Caenorhabditis elegans: one gene and its partner. The protein of the gene in region 2 interacts with the protein of the main gene of each other region in a pairwise test. Each region holds a gene or a part of one and is shown on either strand. Other genes may lie near its edges.

The links. Proteins that work in one complex are often made in the same cells at the same time.
Region 1: the proteins of ZK945.6 (region 2) and ssp-31 interact in a two-hybrid assay, tested with the Caenorhabditis elegans proteins (one large-scale study listed by BioGRID).

The regions. Positions count from the first base shown.
Region 1 is NC_003279.8:13,215,527-13,221,618, reverse strand, and holds ssp-31 (Sperm-specific class P protein 31), read right to left. Parts: upstream 2,479-6,092; coding exon 2,155-2,478; downstream 1-2,154. Other genes in the region: ZK1225.5 (FSA_C domain-containing protein), read left to right, coding at 2,774-3,101, 3,172-3,230, 3,275-3,748, 3,803-3,934, 3,984-4,108, 4,526-4,662, 4,716-4,996; ZK1225.4 (Cysteine proteinase), read left to right, coding at 5,413-5,743, 5,791-5,849.
Region 2 is NC_003280.10:10,104,237-10,111,077, forward strand, and holds ZK945.6 (Ovule protein), read right to left. Parts: upstream 2,735-6,841; 5' UTR 2,667-2,734; coding exon 2,636-2,666; intron 2,590-2,635; coding exon 2,482-2,589; intron 2,430-2,481; coding exon 2,262-2,429; intron 2,219-2,261; coding exon 1,875-2,218; 3' UTR 1,844-1,874; downstream 1-1,843. Other genes in the region: putative RING finger protein ZK945.4, read right to left, coding at 440-748, 1,030-1,321, 1,370-1,460; ZK945.7 (uncharacterized protein), read right to left, coding at 3,286-3,350, 3,394-3,771, 3,819-3,986, 4,030-4,168; ZK945.8 (PPP1R11/YPI1 family protein), read left to right, coding at 4,466-4,583, 4,631-4,842; lov-1 (Location of vulva defective 1), read right to left, coding at 5,043-5,312, 5,371-5,614, 5,667-6,041, 6,085-6,633, 6,677-6,841.

The sequences.
Region 1 (6,092 bases), on a different chromosome or scaffold from region 2:
AAAAAATGTTTCAAGGCGTGCACATTAAAGGGGGAGTAATGTTTGTGAATATTTTGCGTAAATAGACTAAAACTGGTCCAAAACCACCGAATTTCCTAATGAGACTTCACAAAAATTTCCAAAAATTTTTTATGTCCGGTCAAATTTTCGAAAAAAAAGAGCCAAATTTTGCTAAAATCTGAAATTTCGCACACTTTTCTTTGCCATAGCCGCTGAATTTTAGTTTTTCTGAAATTATCACCCTTTAATCCTTATTTTGGTAATTTATCTCGCGGAATTTCGTTGATTGAGACAACTTTTAGCGATAGGCATCCAATATTGATCATTTTTGGATGCCTATCGGCCTAAAAGTTGTCTCAATGCGGCTGTGACAAAGAAAAGTGTGCGAAATTTCAGATTTTAGCAAAATTTGGCTCTTTTTTTTCGAAAATTTGACCGGCCATAAAAAATTTTCTGTGAAGTCTCATTAGGAAATTCGGTGGTTTTGGACCATTTTTAGTCTATTTAAGCAAAATACCCACAAACTCTACTCCCCCTTTAACATACTTGAAATTTTTTTTTGCATGTTTTCAGTAATTTCCATGATATAAAAAACAAAAAGTACACTACCAAAGTACTCCATTATTAAAATGATATTTTGAAAAAAAAGAGAATTTTGCGTGAAATTCTCGAAAATCTCACTAATGATCCGTCAGAAGGTGCCCATTGGACTTACATATGAGATCGAATGAAACAGATCTAATATGTAAGTCGAATGGGCACCTTCTGACGGATTCCTAGTCAGGGTGTCCCATAACATTTGGACAGTCGACATTTCAACTTTTTGCTCTTTTGCGTTCAATTTTGAAATGTGAGTATAAAATTGTAGATACAGAGGTTTTTTGGTATGCTGCATCCGATGTCAATATTAGTTTCCCAAAAAAGTTTGCAGATGCCCTATACAGCTCAAGTGGAGGGGGTTTAATAGCAATTGGGCGTATTAAAGTACTCCTATAGAAACCTAAAAACATCTAACCAGTAACCCCAACTCAATATCTTGTCAAAAGCCAAAAATTGTGCATACCTGTAGTGTTACGTCACATACCAAAATCAGACGAACACTATTTTTTGGATATTGGTAATGATATAAAAAATATGCAAGTTTGATTGAAAACATTTAAATCATGTTGATTTTTTGTAACTGGAAAACAATAGTTCAAAATGCCGAAATGCCGAATGCCGAATGCCGGCATAATGCCGGTTTTTGGAGCGCGGCATATGCCGAAATGCCGATTTTGAAATTCACGGCATATGCCGAAAATGCCGTTATGCCGAAACGAAAAATGGACGGCATATCGGCATATGCCGATATGCCGAAAAAAATTTTTGGCGGCATATGCCGTTATGCCGTTATGCCGAAAAATTCCGAATGCCGCACAGGTATGGCTGACACTAACCTGTTGGCGGCTTTTAACCTGCCATTCAGCTGCCAATAACTTGTGGCGCTTTACCTGTGTTGAGGTGTCTCCCGCATGGCCGAGTGGTTAGTGCGTATGATTGTAGAAATTTTGGTAACTGGTTCAATTCTACCAAGTGACAAATTTTTTTGTTTTTTGTGAGTAATCGGGATTCGAATAGAAATACTCAATTTTATACAAAATATGGGTACGTCTTTCCTAATATAAAGCCTCCTCAAACTTCAATCAATCAAAACTCAGCTTTAACTGATTCATCGGGTGCATCTGTTTTTGGTCAAACCGAACTCAAAAAACAAGAAGACTCCAATTATAGAATTACATTCGATTCTACAGAATTTTTTTTCATGTTTCGTAGTAGACTTGTCTCAGAAACTTTTAGCTCAGTTTTTTGATTGAACAGGAAGCTTTTGTCTCCTAGAAAAAATTTGTTATATAATTCTGAAAACGCTCAAAATTTGAAACAAGTCCCCGACAAAACATTTTGAAAATAGCTCAACTACTGACAATTGAGTTTCCCATTGAAGGTAGGCATGTTCGCTTACCGCCTACCGCCGGCAAGGCGCATTTACGATTTTTAACAGCTTTTCACTTGCACACAAGCTATAAACCCCGCCACACCGACAAAAATGATTTTATTTAAAATCAATAATCTCATAAAAATTTTTATCATATGAAAAGTACCATAAAGTAAGCTTTCTTAGCTAGCAACCATCTTGACAACGACTTCTCCTTGTTGAGCACCAGCCGCAAACGGAGCCTTCGGATCGGTCTCATCAGCTGGAACTTCGGCGTATTGAATGACAAGCTTGTCCTCCTTCGCTGGTCCAGCCAAACGATTCACTTCGAGCTTAGCCTTTCCCTTCGCATCAACGAATCCATAGACTGGGCGAACACGATACGATTCATTGTTGGACGACTTGACTTTGAATGCCAAACGAGATTCCGATTCGGAGACAATGTAGTGAGTTGATGAACCACCAGAAGCTGGGTAGTCGCCGGATGGTGGATCGATGTTGATCATTTGTAGACTTATTTTTGAGGAGACAAAGTTGATCACCAAATAGATGTAAGGGAATGATTGGATATGGAGAAGGAAGGGGACAAATCAACATTTTGATGAACTTTACTGATAAGGAAGTTAAGGAGAGGTTACGTTTTCATTTTATTGTTATTTTGTTTATTTAAATGTATTTTAAATACTTCTAATTGTAAAACAAAAATAAACTAGTTTTTTGCAACCAATTTACGTGAAAACTGTATCTCGATAAAAATCCAATTTTCAAATAAATGAAACAATACCAAGTTTTTCAACAAAGATGAAATTTATTCAACTTGCGCTGTTCTTTCTTATTGGAATATCAACTACGGATACATCGAACAAGACTCAACAAATTTTCAAGAAAATTGGAAAACGATTCTCGCTGAGTGAACATGGATTAATCCAACGGTTTAAGTTTTATTGGAAGACTCAGGAGGATGTGGATGCTGCAAGAAATCATTCGGCTCAATTGGTGGCTCTTCACTTGTTGAGACAATCATCGAATCACAATTATAAGTTTCAAGAGAGTGCTGATATTTTGTATAGTCTGATGGATATAAACTTCGAGGGAAAGATATGCGGTGGAATGGAAATGCTGAATTTCTGTAAGTTCAACTTTTACAATTGCGTATTGCCGTTTTTGGTCCAGAATTTAAAAAAAAGATTGAATTCCAGATCAAATGGCTGAATTCTGGAAACGACAACGAGGGACGTACCGGAGAAATTCTGGAGAGGTAGGCAGTAATTTTAAACACTCACATATCATTTTATTTTTCAGAAAGTTTCCTGGAGTCCTGTTCCAACGGAGAGTATAAATGACAATATATTCCTGGTATCGTTTATGGCACATTCCACTTGGGAGTACTCTTCAAAGATATCTTATCTTGTTAAAATGGAACTTCTCGGAGAAAAACCATACAGCAACTACACACTGACAAGGATTGAAGAAGTTGGAGCATGTACAGAGTATGGTGTTACGAATCTGGAAAACACTGATATATTTTTGGATCTTCATGAAACTGACCCAGAGAGAGTTGATACAAGGAAAAAAGTATTCAAACATTTCTATGAACTATTCACAATGGATAGAGAAGAGTCTGTAATCCCATTTAATTGGCTATCTTATACCGGTGTATCTGCTGATCTCGACATTCAAGTGTGTCACGGGAGTGAGTTGAAGAAAATCGGAAAGTATAATTTTATCGATTGGTGGCTCTGGTTCCAGAAGATGTATCATCCGGTGAAAGGCGATGTAAGTATCACAACTATAAAGTTTCACAGAACATTCTTATTTTCCTTTTAAAAGCAACACACAGCGGTGCAATTGACTGGTGGAGAGTACGATCGATTTGTATTCAGAGTAACTATGAGAGTTCAAATTGGTACTTTAATAGATAACCCAGTTGAGGAATTCAACTTCAAGATTCAAGTTAGATATGTACGTGTTTGAAGGAAAAAGAAAGCCATAAAAATTGACACAACTTCAGAATGTTTATGGCGACAAAGAATGGAATATTGATAAGTTCGAAGTGATGTGCCCATTAGTTGCAGTTCCAGAGATTGATTTGATGAAGAAGCACGCAATCGCTTTTAACCAGGTTATTGGAGCAAGGTTTGTGAAATGTTATCAGCTGTGTAGAAGCTAATACTAAGGTCATCATGATAGGCAGATACGTTTTCTTGTTGGAATCCCTTGCCTATTTAGGCCCCTGTCTGTGCTCTTTTAGCGTGACAATAAATGTTTGGGGGTGGACAGCAAGGAAGCAGGTCCCCTTGAAAGCAACTATGCAAACTATTTGTGCCTACCCAGCAAAAATTTATTTAATACTCCCGCCAAAGAAATTCTCACTATCAGAAATTTGAATTTTGAATTTCGCGTCAAGGGTTTCAAATGAATAGGTTTTGACAAAACATCAAGCTCTGCTAATTGATGAAGTACACTAGAATCACGCGCCTTTACAATTTTTGTTAGTGCAAACTCTATTTGGAGCATCTACCGTATCCTTACAGTAATCCCATGTAATTTCAGAATTCAAAAGATGGTTGACGCCCCAGAGATGTGGTATACAGCAGTTGATGCTCTTACAACATTGACTAGCCGGAAGTTTGAAATTAGAAATTGTGCAGGGCTCAATGGAGAGACAATGGAGAAGGCTAACAATTTTGGTGAGCTAACTCATATTCTTACAAAGGAGTGTTTTTTTTAATATTTATTTCAGCGGATCTGACGCACAAATTCTGGGAGCTGAACAAATCTACAAACGGACGGATGGAAGGATACGACTTGGGTGGAATCAGTGAATTCTCAGAAATTTCGGAGAAAGTATGGTTGTACATATTCATCATTTGGACACCACAACCTGAAATACTTGTGCACCAATCGCAATGGACATTTGGCTTAGAATGGAATAGTGATTTACAAGCTTTTTCGATTTTTTCAATGATACTGAGATGTCCGAAAAATGGGAAAGAAAGAAAACGTTTTATTACACTTCATTAAGAAATCCATAGAATAAATGATTTTTTGACTAGTTGAATGTTTTTGGCACCAAGTTTTAACCAACTTTGAATTGGATTGACTTTCCATCATGTGTCACTGGAGCACATTTTCTCGCCCTATCAGACACCCTTTTTCCGCCCTATCAACTGAACACCATCTCTGTACAACAGCAGGTAGGCGTGCAGTAGGCAGGCAGTCATAAGGCGGCTGACCATAGGTGCGATAGTTTAAAACTAGAGACCTATTTGTTTTGAATTTTTTGTGTGTCATTTGAAAATTAAAAAAAAACATTGAAAAGTGAAAAAAATCCAATTTATTATCTTCAAAAAATTATACGTGAACCTTTAACTGCAACGTTGTATTTTGATTAAAAACCAGTTTTCTCAAAAATCAATCAATACCGATTTTCAACCGGCATGAAGTTTCTTCAATTTGCGCTGCTGTTTTTTATCATTTGCATAACAACTACGGATGCATCAAAGAAGACTCAACGTGTCCTCAAGAAAGTTGGAAAACGATTTTCGTTGAGTGAATTCGGAGTAGTCCAACGTTTAGACTATATGTGGAGAACAGCGGAGACAGTGGAGGCTGCAAGAAATCACTCGGCTGAACTAGTGGCTCGTCTCTTGCTCAGCCAATCGTCAGCTGACAATTTGAAGTTTCAAGAGAGTGCTGATATTTTGTACAGTCTGATGGATAATAACTTCGAGGGCAAGATTTGTGGTGGAGACGAGACATTGAACTTTTGTAAGTGAGCAGTTTTGGAAGACAGTTTTCAGCAGGAATAATTTCAGATCAAATGAGTGACTACTGGAAAAGGCAAAGAAAAACCTACAGAAGAAACGAGAAAGAGGTTTGCATATAACTTTGAGGCAGGGTTGCCAAATCGGACCGGTTTGCGGATGTCAAATCGTTGGTTCTGGCAAATTGCCGATAAGTAGATTTTTCACACCGCCCGACATCTCCCGAGTTTGCCCATTCACCATTCTTGATAATATAACTTGCCAGCCTCGGAAACAGTCGGGTGACATGAAAAACCGACCCATTGCTCAGATTTTGCACCTTCAAATCTGGATAAATCCGATGTCCAGTTTGT
Region 2 (6,841 bases):
TGAGAGGTATTCGGCAGGAATAAGTTTTGCTATTACTGTCAAACATTTATCACATGGAAAATTAAAAACAAATAAAATTTTGAGAATGTAATCTGGCTTCAAAAAAAATTCCAGAAACTTGGATATTTCAAAATGGCAAAATTCAAAATAATTACAAGTTTTTGCATATTCCGAAAGAAAAAAGAGAAACCAACTATTTACCAACCGAGTACTTTTTCCAAAATTCAAGTTTTTCCTGGACTACAGTAACCCTACAATAATTCCACAGTACAGTACCACTACAGTAACTAGACATTAGCCATCACTAACTCCAAACCCAAAAGGAAAAATACCCATTTTCTTAATCTACAGTAACCCTACAATAATTCCACAGTACCTCTACAGTACCACTACTGTACTAATATATAAGTATTGATATTGAAAAAAGGTATACACTGACTCTCTAAGTTTTCCAATATTGGCCAATATCTTCTTCTCTTTTTCATGATACAATGCCAACGACGAACAGATGTTCCTTCTGAGCTCCGGGAGTTCCAAGTGTAGAGAGCTATGCTCGTGCTCGAAATGATCCGAGCATTTGTCCAAAAAACATTCGCTGCACATCAGTCGATTCTGCCGTTTCTTGCATCTGTCTCTCATGCACACAAGACTTATACTTTTTCCTGGGTGAAATTGACAATCAGGAGTTGAAATCATCTTTTTCTCATGATGTGCTAGTGTGGATATAGAATGAATCCACGTCCAGCATCTAAAAATATTTATTATTTTCTGATCAAGATTTTAAAATGACTTCCAAAAGGCGCACGGGATTATTTATATGGGTCTCGTCGCGCAAAACGTTTATGGTAGCTTCTTTGCGGCCCTCTCGTTCATTTTCATAGTTTTTTTTAAAATTTATTCTGGACCGCAAAAATTGAAAAAAAAACTACCATAAACTTTTTCTTGCGCGCCGAGACTCATCTAAATAAATGAGTGCGCCTTTAAAAAGCCATGTCAAAATCTTGTGAAACTGATAATATTTCAACTAACTCTTCACATAAATCGGCGTCGCATGTCTCACAATAATTCGAAGCGTGATGATTCGTGTTCTCATCACAGACTCCATTCTTATTCCTCTCCTTTTTCTCATTCTTTTCCGAAATTACTCGGTTCTTTCGATCTTTCACCTCTTGTTTGATTTCCAGAATACTAAAATTCTTTTTGAGTCTCGTCACATCTTTTTTCCAAATTCTCGTCTCAATTCGATCAAATGGGCATGCGATTATCGAAGACTGTCCTTTTATTTTTCCTGCACATCCTGTACAAATCGTGTGACCACATTCTGGAAGATAAAATAATTTTTAATTAAGAATCAAAACACACGGTGTACCAGTCAAAATTCTAGGGATTAGGAGCTTTTCGTCTTCTGAATACTCCTGCCCGCAAATCCCACACTCCGGAAAGCAGCGGAGCATATTCATGGCAAGTTCTGGAAACGAAGAAAAAATATTCGAGTGTATGAAATGAATGGGAAATTTCGTTATTGTCGTTGTTGAAAACGAAAATGTTCGTTTAAAATACGAAAAACGAATACGAAACAAGAAACAGCGCGATGACACCAATTGACCACAAATTTGTGTAAATTTGGAGCAATTTCCGGAGATCAAACAGAGAAAGAAAACACTTTGAATATTCTTGATATGCAGAGAGTGTTCGAAAACTAGAAAAAGAGAGCGCGAGGAACAAAAGTAGAAAGAGTATAATGTGCACACGCGAGGCGACAGGGGGCCTAGGCAGTTGTTGTTTTCAACTCGTTTTAGACTTTGGAGACGCAGAGTCAGATATGCAAAACTATTATCTTCAATGAGAAAAAATGTATTTTATCAAATAGCTATTCAATAGTTCTGTTCAATTTTCCGAACCCATTCTTCAAACTCTTCAGACGTCGGACCAAGTTCTGCGGTTGAAGCGTCATCCGAATTGACTGATGCATTGGATGTTGAACCATAGTCTTCAAGAATCTCAAAATCATCTGGCGGGCACGGAATAGCAAGGTTGACACGTGGATCGAAGTAAACTGGTTCCAAATGTTGCTCCGATTGAGCTAAGCACTCCAGAGAATCAACTACAGTAACCTTCTGATCATCACACATCATTTGAAATCCGGTGATTTTGCCTTGATCACGCCAGACTTGGAGCGGCGACGGTTGATGATTGAGGTCGAAAGGATCATCTGAAGCTGAAAATAAATTTTTTAAAATTTAATTGAGACGGAATCCCACCTTTAACATAATCTTGTTCCATAGAACTCAAATCCGATGCTGTACTGAAAGACATCTGAGTATTCAAAGAAGGATCTGCATAGGCATCCAACTTTTGTGCCACTGTCTCCAATGATACAGCTGTGCAGACCGATGTACAACTCAAAGATTCTTCGATTGCGGTTATCACTGAAAAATCTGGTGATTCAAGATCATCTGAAATCGTTTAAAGGCAACTCACAGTTACTAATAATATCTGCTTCGTTCGTGTTACTACACTCCTTGCTTTTGATGACTCCATCCAAATTGATATCCACTTCTGAACCAATCTTTTCGAGAGCAATGAAATCTGAAATTCTACGGTTCAGACGGCATGACAAACTCAGTAAAATTACCATTGACGACATCTTCCTGAGAACACTCCATGATTATGATCTCTCGAGATGTGATCGATTTGAAAATTTTTTTGAAATGAAATTTTGAATATAAGAAAATGAACATTGAGGCATTAGTAGGAAAGACGTGAAAACATTTAATTTTATAAAAATTTAAAGAACACGGTTGCCACGTGATTGGTGAAAACTTGTACAAAGAATTTATAGATGCTCACAGAGGCAACTCCTTTCGAACAGTTCTCTCAAAAAGTAGGAAATAATGGAAATTGAGAAGAAGCACCACATTTTATGTACAGTTAACATTAAATAGCATGGTAGAAGTAACTTAGAACCACGAGGCTGGTAGATCGCAACAAGGGCGGGTGAAGAATTGATGCAAATTTCAGATTTATAGGGATAAGACAACTCTTTTTAGAAGAATTCCCGTCTTGTTAGGTGTTCAACCCGGGAGCCATGACGGGGCTCATTTTGTCCGCCTCGCTTTCATGTGTGCAAAAGGCGGCCAGGCACAAGTCTCGTTTCCATGAACTATCGTAATAGTCATCAAAAAATTTGCTATACAAAAAACCAAGAAATTACGAATGCATAGACAACAACAAAAATGATTCGACATTTTTTATAGACCAAGTTCAATAATTTGTTCCGATTCTTCAGATCTCGTGATGGATTGAACTGGCATTGGATGAACGCAAGAGGTAGCTTTCCACAGATTTGGCTGAAATTGAAAATATTATTTCTTAAATAAACTTCACTCTTACCAGTTTTTCCAAAATCAGGATTCTGATCGAAATCCACCGGGATTGGTTGGAATTTGTCCAACTGATGAAGGCATTCAATTGAATCAATGATCTTCGCATTCGAAAAATTGCTGCACTCCAATCCAATCACTTTGCTATCCGGAATCCCGAGCTCGGCTTGAAGGCGCTCTACGTAGGCGGTGGTGTCGAATGTTGGATGAGCTGATTTTGCAGTGTGCTCTGACGCCAAATCCTGAGCAACGTTCTTGAGAACATCAGCCATTGTGACGTTGGTCTCCGAGGCAAGGGCAGTGTACTCCGAGAAGCTTGCAACATTCATTGTAACATTTGCTTCTGATGGTGGCATTGAGTAGACAGAGTAGTCAAGAACGTTCATCACTGAAAATTTTTGGTTTTTCAAGATAGAGTTGTTGCAGTTAACTTACAGTCTTTGCACCGCTCGAACTTCTCATTCATGGTCACTGGGGTCTCGGATTTTGGAGCAGAGTAAACGGACAAATTGAATTGATTGATATCTTGACATGGCTGGAACCCTTCGCTAGCTGACACATTTGTTTCTGATTTTGGGATTGGGTAGATCGAAGAATCAGCTTCTGTAAACTCAATATTCCCAAAAAAAAGACAATAAAAACTTACGATCATCTGGCGTCTCATTGACAGCGATAATTTCTTTGGCAAGCACCTCATTGATGGAGCAATTTGTCTCCGATGGCTGAGCAGAGTACACGGAGCACATTCCATCCTGATCCATTTGGTTGTCGAACGAGGAAGCCATAGCTAACCAATCAATTGAGCAGATTGTTTAATCCGACGGTTGAGGTTGTCGGACGAGTATGTAGCAATAAATTGTTAGTGTGGCAAGGGGGAGGTAAGGGGAATTCAAAAGTTCACGTTAAAAGTTCAATTTTTTTTTTGAAATTTATAAATTTTTTTGAAATTTGAACTTTTTATAGTGGAATCATGGCATTTTAAATATATATAAATTGTCAAATAAATAAAAGTGTAAGTCCACGATTCCAGGGAAAAAATTCAAAGTTTTATTCATTTCGTACATCAACTACACAGTCGTACGATGCAAGCCCCCGTCGTAACGGAAACTTGTCAAACCAACGAAGAAGGAGAGCAGCTTGTGCTCCGCCTGAGAGCTCCAGTTGAGCGTCCACGTGTCACTTGGGGAGCGGGAGTAATTGGTGAGTGAATTTATATTAAAAAGTCTTGAAAAATACTTAAACTTTAGATAACGAACACATGGGACGTCTCAAATCCAATTGCTGTTGCATCTACACTCCGCCTCGTGTCTGGGATGATCCGTCAACTTGGGAGCCGGAGGAGCATGAGACGGAGCACTGTCGTGGACATACTCTTCCAGAGAAGAAGCAAAAGCCACAAGGAGGACATGGTAGCGATAAAGATGAAGATAAGGGAAATTGTGGATGTGATCATTGTTGAAACTCGAAGATTTAAAAATTATTAGGAAATTTATGTAGATTTTATTGTAAATTAATCTAAATGACCCATCATGCCTTTGTTCTTATGTTTTTGTATTGAATATTACTTTTCTGCGGTCATAAAAATGAAAAAAAAACTGAAAAACAAACTATTAACACAATTATTTATTCTTGATATCCAAATTAGGTAGCCCTCAAAAATCAATCTTTCTCCACATCGTTTAGCCGCCACTTCTGGAATCTCTTTGGTCCAGTTTCGTGAATAGCAGAGACAGGATCATAGGAGAGTGTGTAGTTGATGACTGTTTGGTTTTGGTATTGACCTTGAGTTTGGAGCATTCTGGTGGCACGATGATGAAGCAGATTGACTTTGGCAACAGCGCTGTGGAATAGACGGAAGTCTTTTTGAGTGTCAGCAATTGAAACTGGAGCAAAATCTTTTGGTTCAAGAAGACCCAAGCGACGTTTTGTCTGAAATTAAATAACAGAAATTAAAGAACATCTAATAGTGAGCTTGAAAAATAAATACCTTGTATTTTATGTGATCGATTATTTCGTAATCATTGGTCTGCTTCTCACTGTCATTACGAATTTCCTCGAACTCGAACATAATTATAGTGACGTAAAGTTGCAGGACGAGCTTTGATCCGGCAATCATATAAAGCATGATCACAACAAACGCAAATTGAGAAATCGGTTGAATAGAGGTAACATCAAGTTTTCCAAGCATTCCAGCCAATGCTGTTTGAAAGGTAGCCATTAAGCTCCGATATCTGGAACCAATTTTTAAAAATTGATTTCTTTCAATTAAGTTTTCATCCTCACCCTCCCATTTTATTTCCTAAAACTGCGTACAATACAGAGTTGAATGTCATGCTGAAGAACAGGAAAGCAATTCCAAATGACACAATAGCTCCGAGAGCGTTATCCAGTGTAGCCGCTAATACTCCAATTCTTCTGTTGAATCTCAAGATTCGAATCATTTTACAAGAAGTGAAGAATACGGCTCCGGCAAGACAATAACTGAATACAATCTCCCAATTTCTCTGTTCAGTCAAATTAATGTACGAATTTCCATTGTTTGCATTGAAATCTTCCATTGCTCTATTTGTGGTTCGTTGGCGGATGGTGTAGGCTAGGACCGATGCAACAGCGAGAGCTCCAACTATCAAGTCCATGAAGTTCCATGGTGAGAAGTTTCTATAAAATGTCTTTTTGAAACTGAAGTTCTCATTAGACCCACCCCAGTGCCAGCTGATACACAATTTTGAATGGATTTCTCGTTGGTTTCATTGTTGTTATCACCTTGTACCGCCCATACAAGTAGAACACAATCTCTTTTACAAATATGAGAACTGAGAAAAAGATGTAAAGCATCTCATAATACTTGACCACAGTTCCATCGCTTCCCTCTGATTTGATAAGTCTTACTGATTCAACCCAACTATTAGGAAGATAAATTCCTGACTTTGGAATCTCCACCAACAACTGTACCACCGAAAAGTAGTTGATTTGAGCATTGTATGCAGAGAACTCAATGATGACTGCTCGAGTATGATCATCGATCCATCGTTCCGAATCAAGTTTATTGAAGAGAGTGATGATTTCCGCTTGGGTACCAGACATACTGATAGTATATCCACCTCCTGAATAGCTATACAGTAGGCCTGAAACTGTTTCAGTGGATAATTCTTCAGAAGTCTTGTAGGTGTATTCATCTGAAGCATCTGTTCCATTCTCGGATTCCAGTTCGGTCCAACCAGCTTGCATGTACAAAGTTTTTTCTTCGTTTCTGAAACCTCTCTATTAGTTGGAAATTGAAGATTTTTACTCACTTGCTTGTCAACTCCTCTCCACAATCATTGATGTATCCTTGAAACTGCTTGAACATCGTACACTCTGCACTTTTCTTTGTCCGAACCTGCCGTATCGTACCTATTCCCATACTTCTTGAAACTTTATCATTCATGTAGGCTCTCATCCCGTATGCAGGATTTCCG